Callithrix jacchus: one gene and its partners. The protein of the gene in region 2 interacts with the protein of the main gene of each other region in a biochemical or structural test. Links are inferred from orthologs where the notes say so. Each region holds a gene or a part of one and is shown on either strand. Other genes may lie near its edges.

Region 1 (4,093 bases), on a different chromosome or scaffold from region 2:
CCAGTGACCTGCTGGCAGGGTTGAAGGAAAAACTCTGACTCTGTTTTCCCTCCAGCAACCCCCCTTGCTAGACATTAAGGCAGATTGTTAAATCCCTGATGTATCAGCATCTAAACTGGATGCAGATTGGGTCAGATAAAAACACTTCTCAGTGCACTTTCTTGTCAACAGTGGGTTCCTATCTTTTCTTCTTTCTTTTGGGGTTGGGTGCTAGGTCCCATGACATTAGCTGGGATTCTAAGACCTTTGTTCAGCTGCTGTGGCCACCTCTGACACACCCTCTGCTCTCAAATACTAGAGCGTGTTCCTGCCTGCCTGAAGATTTTTTTTTTTTTTAAAGATGGAGTCTCACTCTGTTGCCAGGCTGGAGTGAAGTGGCACTATCTTGGCTCACTGCAAACTCCACCTCCCGGGTTCAAGCAATTCTCCGGCCTCGGCCTCTGAGTAGCTGGGATTACAGGTGTGTACCACCACGCCTGGCTAATTTTTGTATTTTTTAGTAGAAACGGGATTTCATCATATTGGACAGCCTGGTCTCGAACTCCTGACTTCGTGATTCACCTGTCTCAGCCTCCCAAAGTGCTGGGATTACAACTATGAGCCACCGCACCCTGAGGATCTTTGGATTTGCCTTCTCTCTGCCTGGAACTCTTCCCTCACATCTCCACATGGCCGCTTCCCAGCTTCAACTCGGCATCACCTCCTCTGGGAGGCCTTCCATCCTTGGTGCCCGGGCAACACTGCTACCCCTTTGGCCTTTTTTTTTTTTTTTAGGACACTATGTTGCCCACTTGCAGTCGTCCGATCACAGTTTACTGCAGCCTCCAACTCCTGGCCTCAAGCAATCCTCCTGCCTCGGCCTCCCGAGTAGCTGGGCTTAGATGCTGGGGTTTTGGGGTGTCAGCCACTGCGCCCAGCCGCTTTGGCCTCCTTTAAGAGCTTCCCTCCGTGCTTTGTTCGCAGTTCTCGTCACCGTCTGTTCAGTGCGCAGGGCTGGGAGGCGGGAAACTGCCCAACGCCCAGATCTCTCGGTCTGTTTCCCCTTAAGTTCGTGAAGCTCTCTGAGAGCAGAGACCCAATCACGAGGCGGAGACTTGGCTTTCCACATTGGGCAGGGGTCGGCAGCATCCTCGATCTGGTCTTGCATACTACAGACCAGACGGGAGGGCACATCGACCCACCTCGGGACCCTCAGGCCTCAACCCACTGTTGCTCCGGCTCCCCCTGCAAGCCCGCTGCGCATGCTTCGCACTTGCAGGCCCTCCCCCCTCTCTGGGGCGGAGCCGCGCCTGCGCAGCTGCCCGGCGCCGGCTTCCGGGTGGTGCGAGCGCGATGGGGCGGCGGGCAGGTGTCGCCTAGTAGCAGCGGCGAGTGGGCGTGTATGCCGAGCGGTCTGGCCCGAGGGCTGGGGGCGGCCGAGGGTCTTCGGGAGGAGGCCAAAGGGCGCGGAGAGAGCCTGGGATCGCCGTCCGCCGCTGCCACCCGGTATGTCGGCGGAGGCCTCGGGCCCGGCGGCGGCCGCGGCCCCGTCCCTAGAAACCCCTAAGCTCTCGGGTCTAGAGCCTGGCTCCGCCGCCTACGGTCTCAAGCCGCTGACCCCGAACAGCAAGTACGTGAAACTGAACGTGGGCGGCTCGCTGCACTACACCACGCTGCGCACCCTCACGGGACAGGACACCATGCTCAAGGCCATGTTCAGCGGCCGTGTGGAGGTGCTGACCGACGCCGGAGGTACGAGCGGCTTCCCCACCGTGCCTCCATCCCCAGACCCCCAACTCGCGTTCCCCACAGTCTCTCACCACCGGGGCTCTTCATGCCCCTTCTCTCTGCTCACTACTGTCCGGTCAACTCATTCTCAGCTCCCTCCAGCGCCCACATCTCATCTCCTCCCCTTTCTCATTCATAATTTCCCTTCTTCCCCAGTCCTTTACCCCCAGCAATAACCAACATTTACGGAACCCCTAATTCTGCCAGGCGCTGTGGTAAGTGATTGAACGTGTCACTTCATAATCCTCATGACAGCTCTCCCACCCTTCACCCCTCAGCTAAAGACTTGGGTACTAGCCCTGCTGCCTGCAATTCTACTCCTGGCAGCCTTCTCAGTTTCTTCCAACTGCCCAGCCTTTTGCTTCCCTCTCTGCCTCAGAACTGCTCAGCCAGCCTAGAGAAGTGGGAGATCTTGTCTGCCTCTGTGTTCCCCGACACAGGTCCCTGTACACTCCAGGAATCCACCTGTAGACACACATTACAAAAGGAGGATGCTTTAGGTTTGCTAGGAACACCAGAGTGGAGGGGTGGACAGGTGTCATTGGCAGGTGAACCTTACCTTCTTGGAGTGTCGCATTCAAGTTTGGAGCCTACATGCCCAAAGTTTTGGAGTTTGGAACTGGGAGATTCTTAAGGGAGGAGTTAACAAGGACTATGAGAATAGGAGGATAAAAATTTGGGAGGCGGACATCTGCCTTCAAGTATCAAAGGTGAAGAATTTGACTGGGCTCGGTGGCTCACACCTGTAATCCCAGCACTTTGGGAGGCCAATGTGGGTGGATCACCTGAGGTCAGGAGTTTGAGACCAGCCTGACCAATATGGTGAAACCCGTCTCTACTAAAAATACAAAAATTAGCCGGATGTGGTGGCAGGCACCTGTAGTCCAAGCTACTGAGGAATCTGAGACAGGAGAATCGCTTGAATCTGGGAGGCAGAGATTGTGGGTGAGCCGAGATTTTGCCACTGCACTCCAGCCTGGGCAACTTAGTGTAATTCCATCAAAAAAAAAAAGTGACGAATTCATTTGTCCAATTAGTGTTTGTAAAATATCAGTTAGTGCTGGAGATACATAGGTAAATGAACGTGACAAAATTATGGCAAGTCCCCTTTTTTAAGGAGGTGGGAGATGAGATCAATAAGCAGGTAAAAATGCATAATATGCAGGTAGTAAGTTCTTTCTTTTTTTCTGATAAGTTCTATGAAGAATATAAAAGTTAAAATGGTAGTGAATTGGAGGGAGGTCGACATTTTAAATAGGATGGTCAGAATTAACATGGGGGTTAGAGGTTTATTGATAAGGTAATTCTGCAAGACCGTTCGTGTTAAGAGCTTCTGACTGTAGATCAGATATGGAAGAATTAATTCTCCGGCTGGATGTGTAACTTATGGGAGAACTCACTAGAGATATTTTAAAGAGATTTTTTGGCTGTGGCACAGATTAGTATTCAGTCTTTTTTGTGACTTTGGAATCCTTTTTTTTTTTTTGAGTCAGTGTTCCCTAATGTTGCCCAGGCTGGAGTGCAACGGCGCCATCTCGGCTCACTGCAACCTCCGCCTCCCAGGCTCAAGCTATTCTCCTGCCTCAGTCTCCCAGATAGTTGGGATTACAGGCATACGCTACCATGCCTGGCTAATTTTGTATTTTTAGTAGAGATGAGGTTTTTCCCTCTTGGTCAGGCTGGTCTCGAACTCCTGACCTCACAGCTTAAAAAAATGTGAGGTGATACACCCTCCTCAGCCTCCCAAAGTGCTGGGATTACAGGCGTCAGTTACCACGCCTAGCTGGAATCCGTTTTTTCTTATAATTTAGGCCAGGTGTGGTGACTCACACGTATAATACAAGTACTTTGGGAGGCTGAGATGGGAGGATCACTTGAGCCTAAGAGTTCGAGACCAGCCTGGGCAACATAATGAGACTCCATCTCTACAAAAAAATTTTTCTTTAATTTAATAGCTCCAGGTCCCCCAGCAAAGCCGTCTTTCCTTCTGCCTTTCCCCACCCTACTAGGTTGGGTGCTGATTGACCGGAGTGGCCGTCACTTTGGTACGATCCTCAACTACCTGCGGGACGGGTCTGTGCCACTGCCAGAGAGTACCAGAGAACTGGGAGAGCTGCTGGGCGAAGCACGCTACTACCTGGTTCAGGGCCTGATTGACGACTGCCAGCTGGCACTGCAGGTGAGGGCCTTCCGAGTCCCGGTGCCTATGTTCCTGAGAGAGCTGCCCAAGCAGGTATTAGGACAGAAGAAAGGAGATATGGGGTATGGCCTAGAGAGCCTGCCTCTGATTGGCCATAACCCCAGAGAATTTGGGATGCTATCTTCT
Region 2 (3,500 bases):
TCTTCCAAGTTAACCTGTGTGAAGGCAAAACTCCTGATCTCAAATGATCTGCCTACCTCAGCGTCCCAAAGTGCTGGGATTACAGGCATGAGCATCCGCACAGAGCCTTTAGCCACACCTGGCCTGTAGCCCAGGCTGGAGTGTAGGGGCGCAATCTCAGCTCATTGCAACCTCTGCCTCCCAGTTCAAGCAATTCTCATGCCTCAGCCTCCCAAGTAGCTCGATTATAGGAACATGCCGCCATGTCCAGCTAATCTTTATATTTTTAGTAGAGACGGGGTTTCACCATGTTGGCCAGGATGGTCTTGAACCCCTGGCTTCAGGTGATCCAACTGCCTTGGCCTCTCAAAATGCTGGGATTACAGGTGTGAGCCACTGCATCTGACCAAATTAATTATTTTCAAATAAAATCTTTATCTTTTGAGACAGAATTTCACTTCTGTCACCCAGGCAAGAGTGCAATGGCATGATCTCAGCTCACTGCACCCTCCGACTCCCAGTCTCAAATGATTCTCCGGCCTCAGCCTCCCAAGTAGCTTGAAGTTCAGGTGCACACACCATCAGGCCCAGCTAATTTTTGCATTTTTGTAGAGCCAGGGTTTCGCCATGTTGCCCAGGCTGGTCTTGAACTCCTGAGCTCAGGTGATCCATCTGCCTCAGACTCCCAAAGTGCTAGGATTACAGGCATGAGCCACTGTGCCCGGCCGAAATCTTTATTTTTTATTTTTGTTTTTTGAGACGGAGTTTCACTCTTGTTACCCAGGCTGGAGTGCAATGGCACGATCTCGGCTCACCACAACCTCCGCCTCCTGGGTTCAGGCAATTCTCCTGCCTCAGACTCCTGAGTACCTGGGATTACAGGCATGCACCACCATGCCCAGCTAATTTTTTGTACTTTTAGTAGAGACGGGGTTTCACCATGTTGACCAGGATGGTCTCAATCTCTTGACCTCATGATCCACCCGCCTCGGCCTTCCAACAAAACCTTTAATTTTAATAGAGAAGGAGTCTTGCTAGGTTGCTGAGGCTGATCTGAAACTCTTGGCTTCAAGTGATCCTCCCACCTTGGCCTCTCAGAGTTCTGGGATTAGAAGCAAGAGTTACAGCACCTGAACCTAATTAATTTTTTAGAGCCAGGGGTCACTAGTCCCAGGCTAAACACAAACTCCTGAGCTCAAGCAATTCTCCTACCTCAGCTTCCTGGGTAGCTGGGATTACAGGCACATGCAACTATCCCCCAACAAGTTAGATACATTTTCTTTCTTTCTTTTTTGAGACAGAGATTTTCTTGTCTCCCAGACTGGAGTGCAATGACTCGATTCCAAATCACTGCAACCTCTGCCTCCCGGATTCTCCTGCCTCACCCTCCCAAGTAGCTGGGATTACAGGTGCATGTCACCACACCCGGCTAATTTTTGTATTTGTAGAGACAGGGTTTCGCCATGCTGACCAGGCAGGTCTCCAACTCCTGACCTCAGGTGACCCACCTGCCTCGCCCAGCCTAGGTGGATACATCTTGCAGTGACAAACACTGGGCGCAGGACCACTCACCTAAACTATCAGGACTGTCGATGGAAAAACACATCAGAATAACATCGGTGTCTGGGTAGGAGAGGGGTCTCAGGCGATCATAATCTTCCTGTCCAGCTGTGTCCCACAAAGCCAACTCTACCTGTAATGGGAAAAACAACCACAAGAGCTCAAGGTTAATGCTACTACACACTTAAGTGACACTAACCATAGTACATTCAAATGACAGTCTAAAACAGTAAAACACAAGAATATTTACTTTTAAGAGCATCAAGCTCAAATTAAAGTATATTTAATTTATTTTAGGTTGAAATTTGTCAAAATCGGAAATTTGAGACCCTATCTCTACAAAGCAATCCTTAATAATTAGCTGAGTGTGGGCTGGGTGCAGTGCACACCTTTAATTCCAGCACTTTGGGAGGCCGAGGCAGACGGATCACCTGAGGCCAGGAGTTTGAGACCAGCCTGACCAGCATGGAGAAACCTCATCTCTGGTAAAAAATACAAAACTAGCCAGGCATCATGGCGCATGCCTGTAATCCCAGCTACTCGGGAGGCTGAACCAGGAAAATCACTTGAACCCGGGAGGTAGAGGTTGAGACAAGCCAAGACCATTGCACTCCAGCCTGAGCAACAAAAGCAAAATTTCGGAGTATGGTGGTGCACACCTGCAGTCCCAGCTACTTGGAAAACTGAGGTGGGAGGATTCCTTGAGCCCGAGAGGCAGAGCTTGTAGTAAGCAGAGATCATACCACTGCACTCCAGCCTAGGCAGTGAGACCTTGTCTCCGTTAGGAAAAAAAAAACAAAAACCAACAACCAGATACTAGAACTGAACCAAGTGGCAAAATTCAAAATGTCAAGTCAAAAATAACATAGCTTATAAGTATTTGATTATAAATAACACTGTACTAGGTAAGAAAGCAGACAGACAGGAGAGAAGATATAAAATTTTAAATAACATTCCACCAGGTACACAGACAAGAAAGGGAGATACCACACTAAGTAAATTTTCTGCTGCAATGTGGAAACATGGAGACAAATCTGCATTCTGAGTTGGTAGGAAAGAAAAGACACAACGCTGGGTGTTAGGCAAGGCCTGAGATGACAGGAGAGACCTTTGGCTGTGCCTTTACTATTCAAGAATGTCTGAATGGCTGAAATAATGCAACACATAAGGTGAGAGAGCACTCTTTTCACATCCAGGTACATGCTCAACCTCCTGTAATAGAAGGGTAAATTTGTTGGGTACCAGCCCCGACCCCATTCATGGGTGCCCTTAGTCTTGGCGGTGACAAAGGATTGAGAAAAGGAAATAAAGACAAAGACAGAAGAGTAGAATTTTACAGCATGGGTTCAGGGGACCAACACAAGCATGGGGACCACTGGCCCCAAGTTCTGGTTTCCACAGGTTATTAGGTGCACACACTTGTTAACTGCAGGGTGGTGGAGGAGGGAGGTGATAAGGGGAGGCCTTGAAACTATTGTGAGAGGCCTTGAAACTAATGTGGGCAAGATAGCCAGGGGAAGAGGTGAGGTCTGCAGTATTTGTAGCAGATGTGATTGATTGATTATTTTATTTATTAGAGATGGGGTTTCACCATCTTGGCCAGGCTGATCTTGAACTCCTGGCTTTGTGATCCACCCATCTCGGCCTCCCAAAGTGCTGGGATTACAGGTGTGAGCCACCACCTCAAGGGGCTTTCTTTTTTTTTTTTTTTTTGATGGAGTTTCGCTCTTGTTACCCAGGCTGGAGTGCAATGGCGAGATCTTGGCTCACGGCAACCTCCGCCTCCTGGGTTCAAGCAATTCTCCTGCCTCAGCCTCCTGAGTAGCTGAGATTATAGTCACGTGCCACCATTCCCAGCTAACTTTTTGTATTTTTACTAGAGACGGGGTTTCACCTTGTTGAACAGGATGGTCTCGATCTCTTGACCTCGTGATCCACCTGCCTCGGCCTCCCAAACTGCT
Region 3 (3,938 bases), on a different chromosome or scaffold from region 2:
CACGCCCACCAACAATGTAAAAGTGTTCCTATTTCTCCACATCCTCTCCAGCATCTGTTGTCTCCAGATTTTTTAATGATCGTCATTCTAACTGGTGTGAGACAGTATCTCAATGTGGTTTTGATTTGCATTTCTCTAACGACCGGTGATGATGAGCATTTTTTCATATGTTTATTGGCCTCATAAATGTCTTCTTTTGAAAACTGTCTGTTCATATTCTTTGCCCACTTTTGAATAGTTTTTTTTTTTTCCTTGTAAATCTGCTTTAGTTCTTTGTAGATTCTGGATAATAGCCCTTTGTCTGATGGGTAGACTGCAAAAATTTTTTCCCATTCTGTTGGTTGCTGGTTCACTCTAATGATTGTTTCTTTTGCTGTCCAGAAGCTGTTAAGTTTAATTAGATCTCATTTGTCTATTTTGGCTTTTGTTGCTATTGCTTTTGGTGTTTTAGTCATGAAGTCCTTGGGGAGGGATAACATTGGGAGAAATGGCTGATGTAGGTGACGGGGAGCGGGGGGGGGAGGGGGAGGAGACAGCAAGCCACCATGGCATGTGTGTACCTATGCAACAATCCTACAAGATCTGCACATGTACCCCAGGACTTAAAGTACAAAAAAAAAAAAAAAAAAAGGCATTGCCTCCTCTTGCCCTTCCTTTTTCTCGTGTCCTCTCTAAAGTGTGTCAAGTCTCTCATACCCATGGCAGATGGCAGCTCAGGTGTCTATACAGGGGGTTGGCATTTGAAAATTTGGGACCTGGAGGGTGTGAGACTTGGCATATTTAAGGACTGAAATCAGAATGTCTGTGTGTTCGTATGCATCGTTGGAGGACATATTTCGGCTTCAGCACAGGGCCTTTCAGACTATTCAGGGCTCGTATTCTCTTGGGGCAAAGACGGCAGCTTTGACAGGGCCACCTTCAGGTGCTCGCACCGAGTAACTCCCTTGTGCCGCCAAGTCTTGTGTGAGTTGCCATGGGAGTGCGAGGCTGTGCCATCTCCTCCCACCGCATGCTAGCCTAGGCTGGCCTTTCATCCCTTGAAAATAGGCATCTCTGCAGAAATTCCCCCTTTTGGATGCTTGCGTCCCTCCTCGGAGTCCCCTCGCCTCCTTTCATCCTCTGCTGGCTAAGCGGGGGCGTGGGTGCGCGCACCCAGGAAGAGTAGCCCTCGCAGCGGCGGTGGCCAGAGCGCTCCGCAGGAGCCCCAAACTCATAACAAGTTCTCGGACTGCTCGCGCGGAGCTCTCAGGCCTCTACGCCTCTATACCTACTTGGAGGGGTCCAGAGGGCGGGAGGCCGCGACGCGGTTGGGCTGAGCGGGGCCAGGGGCTGCACCCCTCCGGCAGTGCCTGAGCGCGCAGCGGCGGCGCGCGGATCGGAGCTGGGCAGCTACTGGCTGGGGTAGCGGCCCTGCCTGGGACTCCAGCGTGAAGATGGCAGCAGCAGAGCCCCGGCCCCACCTGGGTTCGCCACGGCGGGCGGCCAGGCACATGCCCCAAGCTGCCGCTTCGGCGCCGTGTACCCCCTTGTCCTGGATCCCGGGCCTGCCCCAGAACCCAGGTGGTTGCACTTCCATGCCGACAACTCAGGCGATTCCTCTGCAGGTGGATATGGCCATGGCCCTGCAGCGCGTGAGGATTGCCGAGAAGTACGGGAAGAACTACCTCTGCCTCCTTCAAGCAGTCTTCGTGGCAGGTAAGTCCCCTTCTCGCATCTCCTCCCCAGTGGCCTGGGGCTCCAACCTAGCTCGCTCACCCTTCTCCTCACCCACTGCCTCCCCAGACGAGCACACTAGTTTCCAGTCCACACTCCCCACGCGCGCGCACACACTTTCCTACTGCAGTGGCGCTCCCAGCTGCGAACTCGCTGGGTCATCCGTTCTCTTTTCCTCTGGCCAGCTGCCGCTCTGCAGGCGTGCAGCTCTGGTCCGCTTGGGCACCGCAGGAGGACCGTGGGAAACTGCAGGAAGCGGTATGAGAATGTCTCTGCCATTGCTGGTTCAGGTCTCTTATCCTCTTCTCATCCACTTCAGTGAGAACCCAACCTCTCTAAGGAGTGCACTTCCCTTGTAATATTCCCGGAAGTTGAAAAATCAATTTTTGTTTGTTTGTTTTTGTTTTCCCCATAACGCATGTGGAGGAAATCAAGTCAAAAAGGCACTCTGGTTCTGGAACCAGCAGCAGAGCCGAAGCAGGGCAGGTGGAGGAGGAGTTGTAGGGAAACAACTGCTGCCACTAACTTGGGCTTTTCACCCAGACAAGCGCATCTTTCTTTTCATCTTGGTCCACGAGCTTCTTGCTTCCCTACAAAGGCTCTTGTACAAACGAAAACAAAGTCAGGTAACTCACAAAGTCTTTACTGCCACTGCCATGGTTTGATTAAGGGGAGTGAATGGTGTAACATGGACTTGATTACTTGCCAGTCATGCTACACTCACATTTAACAAGCTAAAGTTGCCCAGACTTGGGGTTGATGTAACAGGGAGGGTGCTGCAGGCTGTGGGGCTGCGTTCCCATGGGGCCATTCTGACTGGGGCACTGGGGCAGCCTCGGAACAGAGTGCAACTCTGGGACCTGAAGTTCAGCCAGTGCTTTTCAGACAAGTCTACAAGGTGCTGCAATTGATATGCGTGCCTTCCTGTTCTCCCAAGGTAGTTTTGACTTACTAGGTTCTAAGCCTTGCAGTGGAAGTTTTGGTATTCAAAAAATAGACTTGGTGGCAATTTCCTGCAAATCAGATAGCCACAACACATGTTCCAAATATGCCTCCCTATTTAGTGCTATCCACAAATCTAAAGGAGGCCATGCAAACATCTTCAGTTAGGCCAGTGGAATTAATTCAAAGCTGTGGTCTATGCATCTTCATAACACAGAACTCTTTGGTCTTGCTTGTTTTCTTTTGAGCTGGTTAGTATTATTTTCTATATGTAATAAATCATTAAGGGGAGTGTGGTGATAAGGCACAGACTCCTTCAGCTCTTAAGAGCAATTTAAATAGTTTTTGGAGACTACAAAAAAAAATCTCGTTGAAACATTCTGTGCAGCACAGTGGAAAGTACTTTGTGTCTTGTTCTCATTTACCTTTGCATCGTCCTGGGAGCTAAAAAAAAAAAGTCTCCTTTGGAGAAATGCATGCTTAATCACAAGGGATAAATTAGTTATGCTATGAAATGTACGTTGACATTTCTACTGCTAGTGATTGCTCTTCTTTCTAGAGTTGTGTAATGTTTCATCTGTCCATACTGTTGAAGGCTCCTACATGTTGACAGGCCCCCATTCCTGTGGCATCACAATGCATCATAACACCTAAATGACACCAATTGCTGTGCTGTGTTTTTTACCTGGGCTTGCAGTACTTTTGTACCTGTTAAGCATTTGCCCTGGAAGGAATCTGTAGCCATGCGATTAGAGTACACACTACAGTACAAAAATTTTAAATGTAAAATGGATTTCATATAGTTGGAAGCTATTTATATAATAAAATACATTTACAAAGCTTTTCACTGTGGTTAATAACTTCCGGAACAATCATGTCAACAATGACCATTTATGGATTGCTCAGGCCCAGAAACTATGCTACAGTGTAATAAACTAATTACATGTATGTGTGTAGAATCTGCCCTGGGGCAGCCAGAAGAGGAAATGATTGGCTTCACTTAGGGAGTTAGGGGAAGACTTGGAGAGAGTGATGCATGAGTTGAATTTTGAGAGATGCATACAAATGTCCGGGTAGACAGAGGATGGGGATTGAATGCGGTAGGGATAGGTGGGGTGAATGGTATTCCAGGCAAGGAAATAAGATGTGCAAAGACAAGCAGAAAGAGAAGAGCAGAGTAGGTTTGGGAAATTGTAAATACCTTTTAAATGATTGAAGTGTAATATGGGGGGTAAAGGGCAGAGAGAAATTTGGAGAGGTAGGCAGGGGCTTCATCAGGCAGT
Region 4 (4,075 bases), on a different chromosome or scaffold from region 2:
AGTGAGATCTTGCCTCTACAAAGCATTGAAAAAAACAAATACATGAATGAACAACATCTTGCCGTCTCAAGGGCCAACAGAATCCTTACAGCCCAGTCTTTTTCTTCTCTTGTAAGGCTACCTCCTTTCTGCAAACCTCTCTCACATTGAACTCCTCTCTTCTTCCCATACCTAAAAGGAATCCTTGTCCCCAGAACAGGCATCCACACTCACCCACAGAGCTTCTTGAAAACCCTGCTGCCAACACAAGACTCTGATGGGCAAAACTGAGCCTGGGTCCACGCACTGCACCCAACACAAGGCATAGGGAACCACCTGTCCCTCTCCCACTTTAAGCAGGCCTGGCTCTCCCCAACACGATCTAGCAGGAATGGGCAGGGCCAATATTGGGGCTGGGATGCAAGTGAAGGAGGTGTATACTCCAAGGGTCAGGGGATTACCTCCAGGCTGAGTGCCATCTGCCGAATGTAGAGCATATTCAGGTCCTCCAGGATGTGCAATCTGTCCTGCATCTCTGTGCCCCCTGGTGCCCTTTCCCTTGTCGACCCCTCCAGAGAGGAGACAGACAGGTGCCACACTGTCCCACAGTTCCTCCTCTCACTGTTCCCTCAGTCTTGAAAGAGGTGGACAGCTCTTAGGCAGAGGGCAGAAGTTGCCCTTATCCCTCTACACTCCTGTTAGACCCCTCTGGCTGCTGTGACAAATTTTCCTTGCCTACTGCTGCTCCAGGGCCCTGCTGGGAGCCAGGCAGGGGAGAAAAGGAAAGCAAAGTGAGGATGAGTGGGGTCCCAGGAGGAAAGGCCAACTGCAGAGGGGGCTCTGGGCACAGAGTGTCCAGTCTTGCTTTGGTGGCAGCTGTTCTCCCAGCTGTGGAAGAAAAAGGCCCTTTCATTCCGACTCTGGCCGCTCCCCAGCCCCCGCCCACATCCCTGGCCTGGTGGACAGAGAATCTGTGTGCAGAGAGGGCAGTGAGGGGCAGGCACAACTGGAAGGGGGCAGGGAAACTACGCCTCATGCAGGTTCTACAGAGTCATGGGGTTTACATGAGGTTGGCGCTTTCTGAGAGGGGTTTGGGCTTAGAGAAAGTTAGGCAAAAGAGCCACAGAGGTGAGGACCTCAGGGGAGAGTGAGCCCAGGGAGTAGAAAAACGGGTGAGTTGGTAACGCAGCCCAGCCCCAGGGCCACCCCTTTCAACTCAGGGCCCCCATCCAGCCCACTCCACCCTGGGCTCACAATTACCTCGCTTTTCCAGAGAAGGGAGGAGAGGGAGGGAGGAAGGCAGGGGTGTGCCTGTCTGCTGCTGTCCCCGCTCCCTTCTGCAGGCCCCTTCCCTTCCAGACAGGAAACCAGCCCCGATTCCCAGCCAGCTGCAGCCTAGCTCCCCCGCCTCCACGCCAGGCCCACGGAGTCACACTCCCCTTGGCAAACGCGGGGCCCTGTGGCTCCGCCCCAGCTCCTCGGCTCTGGCCCCGAAGGCCGGGCTAATCCCGAGGGGCGGCCCCAGTTCACAGGCCCCTCCCCTGGACCCGGGCCTCGCCCCTTACTCCCCCACACTGGCCCCAAGCAGGTTCCTCGAGCCCAGTCGCTTTGGGGAAAGGGGACCCGAAGTAGGCCCTCTCTCCCCCAGGTCCATTAGCTTCTGAGTCAGAGAAGGCCCAGGATACCGGGACAAGGGTGTGAAACAGCCTTTGTTCTGGGCAGGCTGGAGGGAAAGGGCAGAAGCCTGGACTGGAATCCCAGCTGGGAAGGCGAGGGGGCGGGAGGAAGGCCCACCTCACTTAACCCTTTCCATGCCCGGAAGGGAAGGCTTGGAACTGGGCTCTCCTTGGGCAAGTGTGAGTCTGACCTTCGGGACAGAAGAGTCTTTGGGGTAGCTACCCGCCCTCTCAGTCCCAACTCAGCCACACACCTTCACCCCCACCCTAGCCTCTAGGGAGTTACAGGTGGGGCTCCAACGGGGCAACGCGTGGAAGGCGGACGGGGCGGGGCGGGGGACGCTCAGCCTAGGGGCTGGACTCCTCTTAGGCCCCAGGAAAGGAGGCGGAAATTTTTCGTGTTGGAAGTAACCCCAAAGAGTTAAAAGCTCTGCAGGGGCACAGAGGAGCCTTGGAATAGGGCTTCGGAGAAGCGAGCGGCCTCGACCTAGAAGTCGGGATTGATGACAGGCTGGTCAAGGTGGCTGCGACAGGTTGTGGGATGGGGCTGGCGGCAGGGGAACGAGCGGGAGGCCAGGCCAAGAGTCCCAGCGTTTGGGCCCCCCCTAGCTGCCCACCGCCCTTGGCCCGGGAATGCTCAGGACATTTTGGGGTCCAGGCCCATTTTGGGAGTCGAGCTGGGGCTCTCCAAGTTGAGATAACCCGGGGTTTTTCCAGACACAAGCAAATCATCCCAGCCAGGCCGGGGAATGTCTAGGGCAGCACTGATTTGATGAAAGGGCAGACTGTCCACACCTTACTTTTTAAGTCAATAACTCCGTCAGGTTTGTACCCAGACCGTGGCGTCTCCGTCCCTCAGCATGCGCGCGGACGAAGGCAGGAGGCCGAGGCGGCCGGGGCTGCCCCCGGGAGCCGCGGAAGGGGAAGGCAGGGACGCGGGTCTCTCACCTCCGGCGGGTCGCTGAAGAGGCTGAGTCGGAAGCGGCCGCGTTTGAACTCCATCTCCAGGGCGGAGCCCCTGGCCACTGTGACCCGGCTCCGGTGGTTACGAGAGAACATGCTGGCGGCCTTGCGACTTCGCCTGCGTCCTGCGCCTCTCCGCGCCGCCCGGCTTCGCCTCCTCTCCTCCGCTTCAGTCTCTCGACGCCCGCCAGCCAGTCCCGCCGGGGATCTCCCGCTGCAGGGCTCCAAACCCCGCCCCCGGAGACGACACCTGGGCCGCGCAAGGCGCGGCAACCTCCTCTTCCACCGCCGCCAAAAGCCCAGCCCGTACGGCCAGTCTCAGCGCGCCAAGCCGACCTGGCCCGACGGCCCCGGAGGCAGGAGCACCCTGCACCTCGCGAGCACTGCGGGGTCGCATTCTCTGCCCGCACGGGTCGCGAGCGCTCACCTGGGCATGGGGCGGGCCTTGAGAAGCCCCTCCCCGGCAGCCGTACCCACCTGGCAAGCCTGGCTTCCCTGGCGCGGAAATCCCCGTGGCTCAGGGATCGTCGCGTAGTACGTTCCGGCTCTATCTGGGCGCTGGGAACTTGCCCAGTCTAAACCCCGGCAGCCTGCAAACGGACCATTTCAACTTCCCACAGTCCCAAATGTTCCTTCTTCCTCTCCTCTCTGTGGCTATCAGCCCAAGCCTAACGGCCACAACTGATGGGACAGTGCTTAAACACGTCGTGAAAATCCAGCTCTGTCACTAACTAACCGTGCGGTCATTGACATGGTCCAGTCACTGATCTTTCTGTGCTTCAGTTTTCTCATCTGTTCAGTGGGAATACTGTAACTGTCCCCACTCAAGTTGCTATGAGTATTATCTATAAGTATGAGGGTAAAATGCCCAGCATAATGTTTGGCACAAGGCAAGGGCCCCATATTTGGAGCCATAAAGATAAAGAGCAATGGCTGGGCAGAGTGGCTCAAGCCTGTAATCCTGGCACTTTGAGAGGCCAAGATGGGCTGACTGATTGAGCTCAGGGGTTAGAGAACAGCCTGGGCAACACGGTGAAACCCTGTCTCTACAAAACATACATAGGCACACACACACACACACACACACACACACTAGCCTGGTGTGGTGGTGCACACCTGTAGTCCCAGCTACTCAGAAGGCTAAGGTGGGCGCATCACTTGAGCCCAAATGCTCAAGTCTAGCCTGGGCAACATAGTGGGACCCCATCTTTTAAAAAGCATTACAAGCTGGGCACAGTAGTCCCAGCTACTCGGAAGACTGAGGTAGGAGGATCGCTTGAGCCCAGGAGTTCTGGGCTGTAGTATGCTATGTCGATCAGGTGTCCACACTAAGTTTGGCATCAATATGGTGACATCCTGGGAGCGGGGAACCACCAGGTTCCCTAAGGAGGGGTGATCCGGCCCAGGTGCTGATCAGTAGTGGGATCATGCCTGTGAATAGCCACTGCACTTCAACC

What was found. The genes of interacting proteins can lie anywhere in the genome.
Region 1: of the proteins of RHOA (region 2) and KCTD13, one has a biochemical effect on the other in vitro, tested with the Homo sapiens proteins (2 studies listed by BioGRID, with this or other methods). The link is inferred for Callithrix jacchus from reciprocal best matches to the Homo sapiens genes RHOA and KCTD13.
Region 3: the proteins of RHOA (region 2) and MCF2 form a complex in vitro, tested with the Homo sapiens proteins (2 studies listed by BioGRID). The link is inferred for Callithrix jacchus from reciprocal best matches to the Homo sapiens genes RHOA and MCF2.
Region 4: the proteins of RHOA (region 2) and RTKN form a complex in vitro, tested with the Homo sapiens proteins (8 studies listed by BioGRID). The link is inferred for Callithrix jacchus from reciprocal best matches to the Homo sapiens genes RHOA and RTKN.

Annotation. Positions count from the first base shown.
Region 1 is NC_133513.1:29,592,989-29,597,081, forward strand, and holds the start of KCTD13 (BTB/POZ domain-containing adapter for CUL3-mediated RhoA degradation protein 1), read left to right. Parts: upstream 1-1,293; 5' UTR 1,294-1,487; coding exon 1,488-1,731; intron 1,732-3,776; coding exon 3,777-3,946; intron 3,947-4,093. UniProt on the Homo sapiens protein: Substrate-specific adapter of a BCR (BTB-CUL3-RBX1) E3 ubiquitin-protein ligase complex required for synaptic transmission.
Region 2 is NC_133516.1:31,971,357-31,974,856, forward strand, and holds part of RHOA (transforming protein RhoA), read right to left. Parts: intron 1,673-3,500; coding exon 1,552-1,672; intron 1-1,551. UniProt on the Homo sapiens protein: Small GTPase which cycles between an active GTP-bound and an inactive GDP-bound state.
Region 3 is NC_133524.1:136,459,841-136,463,778, reverse strand, and holds the start of MCF2 (proto-oncogene DBL), read left to right. Parts: upstream 1-1,138; 5' UTR 1,139-1,433; coding exon 1,434-1,695; intron 1,696-3,938. UniProt on the Homo sapiens protein: Guanine nucleotide exchange factor (GEF) that modulates the Rho family of GTPases. Promotes the conversion of some member of the Rho family GTPase from the GDP-bound to the GTP-bound form. Isoform 1 exhibits no activity toward RHOA, RAC1 or CDC42.
Region 4 is NC_133515.1:38,758,049-38,762,123, reverse strand, and holds the start of RTKN (rhotekin), read right to left. Parts: upstream 2,801-4,075; 5' UTR 2,715-2,800; coding exon 2,604-2,714; intron 1,341-2,603; exon of another isoform or gene 1,240-1,340; intron 868-1,239; exon of another isoform or gene 513-867; coding exon of another isoform or gene 441-512; intron 1-440. UniProt on the Homo sapiens protein: Mediates Rho signaling to activate NF-kappa-B and may confer increased resistance to apoptosis to cells in gastric tumorigenesis. May play a novel role in the organization of septin structures.